2 linked regions of the Kluyveromyces lactis genome follow. The protein of the gene in region 1 interacts with the protein of each later gene in a pairwise test. Links are inferred from orthologs where the notes say so. Each region holds a gene or a part of one and is shown in the gene's direction. Other genes may lie near its edges.

Region 1 (4,386 bases):
CCTGATTGCTATATATCCAAACGATCACATGGTTATGGTGATTCTAAAGTCGGTAAGGTGCACGTAACCTCTGACCGGTCTGACGTACGACAGACAAGAATTGGTTGGGAGATTGTTTCGGATGCGGAGCTCGACTTCTGTAAAGACTACAAGGATAAATTTCTATCTTTACAAGATCAAGTAGAAACTTTAAGAATCGAAAGGAAAGGGTATCCTTGTTTTGATCTCCAGTTTATAGACAATATTGAGTGCTCAGCTGATTTATTGAGACGTATCTACTTCCACAAGACCTGGAAATTTACTCAAATTAAATCCTCAGAATTGAAAAGTGGAGAATTTTCTCCTTCTAATATTAAAGATTGTTTCACCGCTAGACAACTAGATATCCCTATACTGAATCGCATTGATAAAGATGCTGTTGATGAATACGTGGATAAATCGATAATTAAATATCTTCGGATTTGCGATGAATCAAGATTTAATAACGATGGTCCAAAGTTTTTTTCAAAGACATCAGGAAGTAATTTCATATTTGAGGCTACTTCGACTTTTGAGACCAGTTTGCTTGGAACAGATCCAATTATCATGAATGCATTTACTAGGCCGATATTTCCCTTGAATTTCAACTGTGTTGATCTCTCAAGCAACAAAATAATGGTTTGTCACTTACGCGAAATAAATTGCATTGTGGTTGCAAATGGCTCTGGACTAATGTTTCTTTATCGATTAACCGAGTGGCGTGGCATTTATGCTTTCAGATTTGAGAAGATTTTAAATATCCTTCGAATTCAGGATATATGTGACGATAGTGATGACGAAGAGAGATCGACGTTTTGTGAAACTAACAGAAGATTCACACAAAATAACTCAGACTTCCATCACACTTGCAACGAATGTAGACTTGTTATCAAGTACCCAATGGTTCAAAGTATGGATTACATACATATGCCCGAAACTAATGCGGTATTATTATATGTTTGTACCACAGCCTGTCTGGTAGTATACGAAATTTCCCCCAATGACTTCTCCAGATAAGTGCTGGCTATAGCATTGTGTATACAAGCTTTAATAGATGTAGTATCCACTCTGAAACAAATGAAAGCATATGAGTATGCCTAACCATCTCATTATCCTTTCGAAAATTGTCGACCGGTGTTCACTTGAAGATTAAGGTTCTTATTGCTCCATCCGTGCACCGCACTTTTTTGTTTGTTTTTGTGCTGTTTACCCAGAAAAGCCAAAGCTTTCTCGAAGTATAAACAAACTAATCTCTTTTAATTATTTCAACCGTTAGGAGCTAAACATCAGCTGTAGGTACTGTGCTAAGTATATTGGTTAATTCATCATAAGGTACATCAATACTCTTACAGTGTGTGGATACTTTTGCTGCAACGATACCATCTAAACTTAAAGGCAGCTCCCTTTCCTTAGCCTCAATACACTTTCTTATTTGATGCTTGGATCTGATGGAGTTGTACGACTTAACCAGTCGTCATTTCCTACAGCAGAAAGCCAACATGAGTATAGTCGATATCAAGATGCTAAAACAGGATTAGAAGAACCTACTCACTCGAACCCTTTGCATTTTGTTAGGCATTTCAATGGACGGAACACTACACATACCTCGAATCACACAGAAGATCAATCTCAATCAACAGTTTTCACAATGGTGAATAAACAATTCCAACCAAGCATGACAACAATGAATACCGTGGTCAAAGAAGATAATGATATTTCGAATTCAAATAGCAACCATGACAACAAATATAATAAACTGAACGAGGAGTCACTGATGAAAGACGACACTCACAGTCATACTTCTCAAAAGTTCAAAGTACTGCAACAGAGTATGAAAGAGGAGCTATATAACAGTACAACCAAATCATCAAACAAACGAAATAGAAGGTTTATCACTTCCCGACTGTCCTCACTAGGACCTGCCAAACGTAACCTTTCTACAAGTTTCAATGTGGATTCCCCTAGTGAATCCAGGGTTGATAATAGTCAAATCAACAGTAGCATAATAAATGATACATCTAACATTTCCCAGCAAGATATTGAAAATTCGCATACCTCTAATAGTTCTAATACAGGTTACAGGTACCATGACCATAACATTTTTCTAGAGACTCACAGACAACATTCAACACCCAGCCACGATGAGAACAAGGACCCTTCCGCCAATCTGCAACCTAACATCAACTATGAGAATATAGATTTTGGTGATCTCAACCCATACCAGTACCTAAAGAAGTATAATCTTCCCAGTGGTGAGCTTCCGTACATCTCGAAAGTATATTTTGAAAGGCAAAAGGAAGAGAATAGAAAAACCGTGTTGAGAAAGGCCACCTCTGGAACGCTGGCGTTAAAGAGGGAATTCACTCAATATAGGAGAACTCAAACAGCTCGGCAACCACGGAGAAAACACAACTTTGGCACAGATAAAACGTCGTTACAGGATCCGCTTTCTTCTCCATTGCAGAAAAATCAGCTGGTATTCCAGGAGGTAGATCGTGAACTAGCTAACAAACGCGAAGCGCTGAAACCATTAGATGTCAATAATCCATCTAGCAGTCAAGAAGCTAAGCGACCAAAGTACGAAAATGATCATGTACCCGAGGATTATCGACCTCCTTTTTTCTCCCATAGGAAGGCACCATCGCCACATGATTCGAAACCCTTTAAAAAGGTCGAGATAGTGGAACCTCCGAAATCCACTGTTGAAGTTATTCCTTTGAAGTCCGAGGGTTGCGATGTTTCATCAAAACTGAACAAGGGGGATAATTATCTGAACTATAATGGCTCCTTTGATACAAAGAAGAGAACCTCGTATGCTGTTCCAACGATCACAGTGAACGGTACCGCATATGAAAAGGTGGAACTACTCGGCAAAGGTGGATCGGGTAAAGTTTACAAAGTGAAATCTTCTGATCACAAGGTATACGCGTTGAAACGCGTGTCTTTCGATGAATTTGATGAGTCCAGTATTGATGGCTTCAAAGGGGAAATAGAGCTTCTAAAGAAACTAGAAAACAAGCAGCGAGTTGTTAAGTTAATTGACTATCATATGGGACAAGGTGTCTTATTTCTCCTAATGGAATGTGGTGAACATGATCTATCCCAAGTATTGACTCAGAGATCCAAAATACCATTTGATACGGAATTTGTCAGATATCACTTTCAAGAAATGATAAAATGTGTGAAGGTGGTTCACGATGCTGATATTGTCCATTCTGATTTGAAACCCGCAAATTTTGTTTTCGTCAAGGGAATGTTAAAGATAATTGATTTTGGGATTGCGAATGCGGTTCCCGATCACACTGTAAATATTTATCGAGACAACCAGATCGGAACTCCCAATTATATGGCTCCCGAGACTTTGGTTGCAATGAACTTCACAAGGAATGATGGTGAACAAGCCAAATGGAAAGTGGGTAAACCATCAGATGTTTGGTCCTGTGGATGTATCCTCTACCAAATGGTGTACGGAAAACCGCCTTATGGTACGTTCCAGGGAAACAATAGGTTATATGCGATCATGAATCCTGATGTTAAGATTCCTTATCCTGAAAAAGACTCTTTCGGTACAGTGATACCAAGAACTGTTATTGACACTATAAGATCATGTTTGGAAAGAAATCCCATATCTCGTGTTACAATTGACCAGCTATTAAGTGGTGCATTAATTAATCCTGTCACCGTAACAAAATTCTTCATACATGATTTGATAAAAAATGCAGTAAACTATGGTTGCGATCAAAAACATGTCAATAATGAGCGTGTGGAAGAATTATCTGAAGATGTTTGGAACAAACTAGCTGAATTTAAATTATAGATTAATCTATTGCACTGAGGGCAGTACTGGGATAAAGCACTTCTGACATGCCGTCTTTATGGCTTTTTTTCCTGCATTGAATAAAGAAGCAACATATGAATGCTGTGCTCCCATAAGAAGCCAGCAAATGAACCTATGGGTGCATTAATAAGTTTACCTACGTAATACAAATGTACTATTATATAAGAGTTTTAATCATTCATTTATCTTGGTCCAAACTTTGACATTGCAGCAGGACCTATTTCATGCCATTCTTGCTTCGATAACCACATGTGGTCTTTATCGGCCATAATGTTCGCTAAGACGGCACCACCAATGAACACCATATGCTTTCTTCTTGGTGGGTCCTCAATTCTGACCTTGAATTTATCCAAACGTGTGGGATCATTGCGTAGAACCCTTGTAAACCATAGTTGTTTTAGTTCTTTTTCCAACCTTGAAGGTAAACCTGGGTACATGGATGAACCACCAGACAAGACGATAGCTTTATAAAGTGATGTTCTGATATCCACATCTGCTGCTTGTATTGTGTTGAATAAAAGTTCACCCAC
Region 2 (3,752 bases), on another chromosome or scaffold:
GTCACTATGAATGTTTCAGACACAAACCAGAGTTTATGAAAGACATTGATACACATCAAGTCATTAGCAAGACACCAATGGTGGACTTCGGTATTGCGTCGAATAAACTTGCAGCTGAAATCTGGAATCAGGCCGTTCTGAACTCCTCTAACAAATCCGATTCTTGTTCAATCGGCTCGGAAGATTCAATCTCCTCTAACGTGCCATTCAGATCTGTTTTCCTGGACTCACCAAACTCTGCGATTGTTACTGATGATGATTACGTTATTGGAAGCTCAGAGTTCTCTAACGACGCAGATAATAAGGGCCAAAACAACAACAGTGGTTCTGGAGTTTCAAGGACGCCATCCACTTTGAAAAGAGTCACTGGTTTCCTTTCGAGAAAGAGTTCTGTCTCGGCAGCACCGGATAATAACAATACTAGCAATATACTACCTGAAATTAGCAGTTCACCCATGGCTTCATCATCTTCAGAACATAGAAACCGCGCAAGATTTAACAGTGTCTCTTCTATGACGACTGACCGCAACGCTTCGATATTATCTAGTAATGCTAGTATCGACTCTTACAGTACAGATCAAGTTACTAATACAAGTGCTACCGAAGTGGAAACTGAAACAGATTATGACGGTATTTCAATGAATGTCAACAAGAAGACAAAGAAAAGAAGATTAAAGAAATTGAAAAGTGTGGTGAAATACCCATGGTGGAGAATATCTGATACTAAAGTTAAAGAATATAAAACTTCAGATATTTTATCAGAAACTAAATTCGTTTATATGTTGTACTATGAGAGGGTACCAGTAGTCTAACCTGGTCAGTAAGCAAATACTGGAACCAACATAACAACAACCAAAAGAATAAGAAAAAATAGAAACATAGACATATTTTACTAAATTGCACAAGCGGCACCTCACCGCTCCGAATCATTCATCCTTTGTCAATTAACTCATCGATTTATGATGACCACAGGCCATGTATTACTCGATTAATTAGTTTTAGCACTTTTACGTTAACCTTATATACATATACTGTACGATCTTTAAATTTCAGATCATGTGACCTCTAAAACCCTTCTAGAATGAAATTCTTCCTTTCCTTCTGCGGGTTGATGAAGCGAGATGAAAAAGGATTGACATGAATAAAGAGACGAGTTTCAGGAATTCATAATAACAGAGTTGATAGACGAAAGCTGCAACACAAAGGCAAAGGCAGTCAATAGTGGGAAAATGTTGAAGGTATGTAATAATGCGCGTGGTATTGTCTTATGTTTGGCAATTTTGACGTAGTAGCGGAGGATTTCTGACTTTGTTAGAGGCTGGAAAATTTTTCTTTACTGAAAGAAGGTAACCACATGAATATTGCAACGTGAAGGCAAAATACTAACATATACTATGATCATTGGTTGGTGATTAAATTGAACCAATTATCTAATTTCTGGAAATTTTTGGAATAGAATTTCAAATTGAAGAAAGACAGTGTGAAACAGCGCATAACTTCTGCGGATATTTCCGGACCTACTCAAAGTCCAGGGAGCTCAGTGCAAAACGTAAAGACCATTCCTATCAGGCAATTATCTACATCATCACAGCTATCTTCGGGGTTTACAAGTGGAAAATCAAAAGATATCTCGTCTCCAGAAAAAGTAATCAAAGCGTTATACAATTACCAGGCACAATCAGCCGGTGAATTATCATTCAATAAGGGAGACTTTTTCCATGTTCAGCAAGAGGAGAACGATTGGTATGAGGCCTCCAATCCGGCGGACGGCAAGAGAGGCATGGTTCCTAAGAATTATTTCGAGATTTTTGGCAGAACAAGGCCAAATTCGCATGCATCACCGGTGAAAAGTATAAATAGAAATGGATCTGTCGGTAGTAATCAGTTATTACAGCATCATCAGCAGCAACAGCAGCAACAGCAGCAACAACAACCTTCCAATATGGGAACTCTTTATGCAATTGTACTGTATGATTTTCAAGCAGAAAAGGCAGATGAGTTAACAGCCTATGCCGGAGAAAACTTGTTCATTTGTGCTCATCACGATTTTGAATGGTTTATCGCTAAGCCCATTGGCAGGTTGGGTGGTCCCGGTCTAGTTCCTGTTGGTTTTGTGACTATTATAGATATAGCTACTGGTTATGCCACGGGAAATGATGTAAAAAGCGATATCGAATCAGTGAATCTACCCTCGGTCCAAGAATGGAAGATCAATATCGCCCGTTACAAGGCTAGCAATATCACACTAGGTTCAGTGGAACAGCAGGGTCAGTCGTACGTGCAACACCGATCACAATCCAGGCAAAATTCACAAAACCGTCAACCACACCCCAGCACGCAGCACTCGAGCGCTGCCAATACAACCTATCCTGCTGATGCCGTTTTCCTTACCTACGCTGCAGTCGAGACATTTTTCCTACAGGACGATAAGTATTGGTTCCAAGTCTCGTGTCAGTTATCCAACAACACCACGCGTATTTTGAAGCGTTATTATGAAGATTTCTATGATTTACAAGTAAAGCTACTCGATATCTTCCCTGCAGAAGGGGGTAAACTAAGAGACACTAATGGTCAGTGGACGAAACGTATAATGCCATATATACCGGGTCCAGTTCCGTATGTGACAGATACCATTTCAAAAAAGAGAAAAGATGACCTAAATATATACGTGAAGGATTTGATTTCCCTACCGCCGCATATATCACAATCACATCTGGTCAAGGGTTTGTTTGCCGTTAAAAATAATGGTTTTGACCGTGAGATTAGTAATGATGAAACTGTGGAGCTTGACGTAAAAGGTAGGGCTGATGATTCAACTCTGACTAACCAAGAACTACAACTTCCAGAGGCAATGAAGAGACTGTCTCTGATTAATAGCGCTTCCAATGCCAGTGCTAAAGTCAAATCAAGGCCGCCTAGTGGTTTCGCTCCGAGAATAACTGATGAAAAGCCTGTCAAGATCAAATTTTATTACAAAGATGACATATTCGCCTTGATGCTGCATCCTACCATTACTTTTGAAGAATTGTGCAGTAAAATAGCACCTAGAATTGACGCAGATTCTTTTAAGTTGTACATCAAAAACGGAGATGATATTGGCACTCAAGTCACTACTGATGCAGAAGTACCGGTTCTAATTCAAGAGAAACGCAAGATCTTTGTCGATGACAGCTAAGTTATTTGTTGCAAAATTTTATCGTCATAATAAATAATACAAAAAGAACCCCAAGGTGGTCAAAATTCAATTTCTATCCACTGATGGCTTTCATGCTTATCATAATGATGTACTGTACATCGCATTGTAATACTTCAACATAATTTTGACATTAACACTCTTATATTCTTTCACATTAATTCAGTTCAACAAGTAAAAATCAGTTGTTTACATACTCTCTCTATAGGTGTTAATACTTCTATCAAAATGATAATAATACTTCACAAACATGTCTAAGGACTATTCATCCAGCTCTATGTCCATGTCTGCATCCGCGTACGGATCTGTATCGAGATCCATGTCAATGTCCATGTCCGCATTGTGATCAAACTCATCATTTCTATGCATGAGATTCGGTGCCAGATCAACTCTGGAATCTGCTGCAGTCTCAACATTCATATCTACTTCATCTAATTTTGGACTATGCTGTTGGTACCATTTTACCCACAAGCTTGCTACCACAGATCGCCAGTCATACCATTTTATTACCTGCGAGTTAAACTGTCGTACATGATCGAATATTCTTTCATATATCTTA

The links.
Region 2: the proteins of MPS1 (region 1) and BEM1 interact in binary tests that used the Saccharomyces cerevisiae proteins (3 or more experiments, as listed by UniProt). The link is inferred for Kluyveromyces lactis from reciprocal best matches to the Saccharomyces cerevisiae genes MPS1 and BEM1.

Annotation. Positions count from the first base shown.
Region 1 is NC_006039.1:347,734-352,119, forward strand, and holds MPS1 (serine/threonine/tyrosine protein kinase MPS1), read left to right. Parts: upstream 1-1,453; coding exon 1,454-3,835; downstream 3,836-4,386. Other genes in the region: CRT10 (Crt10p), read left to right, coding at 1-1,035; ARP2 (actin-related protein 2), read right to left, coding at 4,039-4,386. UniProt on the Saccharomyces cerevisiae protein: Involved in mitotic spindle assembly checkpoint signaling, a process that delays anaphase until chromosomes are bioriented on the spindle, and in the repair of incorrect mitotic kinetochore-spindle microtubule attachments.
Region 2 is NC_006041.1:2,076,465-2,080,216, reverse strand, and holds BEM1 (phosphatidylinositol-3-phosphate-binding protein BEM1), read left to right. Parts: upstream 1-1,229; coding exon 1,230-1,238; intron 1,239-1,456; coding exon 1,457-3,175; downstream 3,176-3,752. Other genes in the region: putative ubiquitin-specific protease UBP16, read left to right, coding at 1-812; KLLA0_E23343g (uncharacterized protein), read right to left, coding at 3,455-3,752.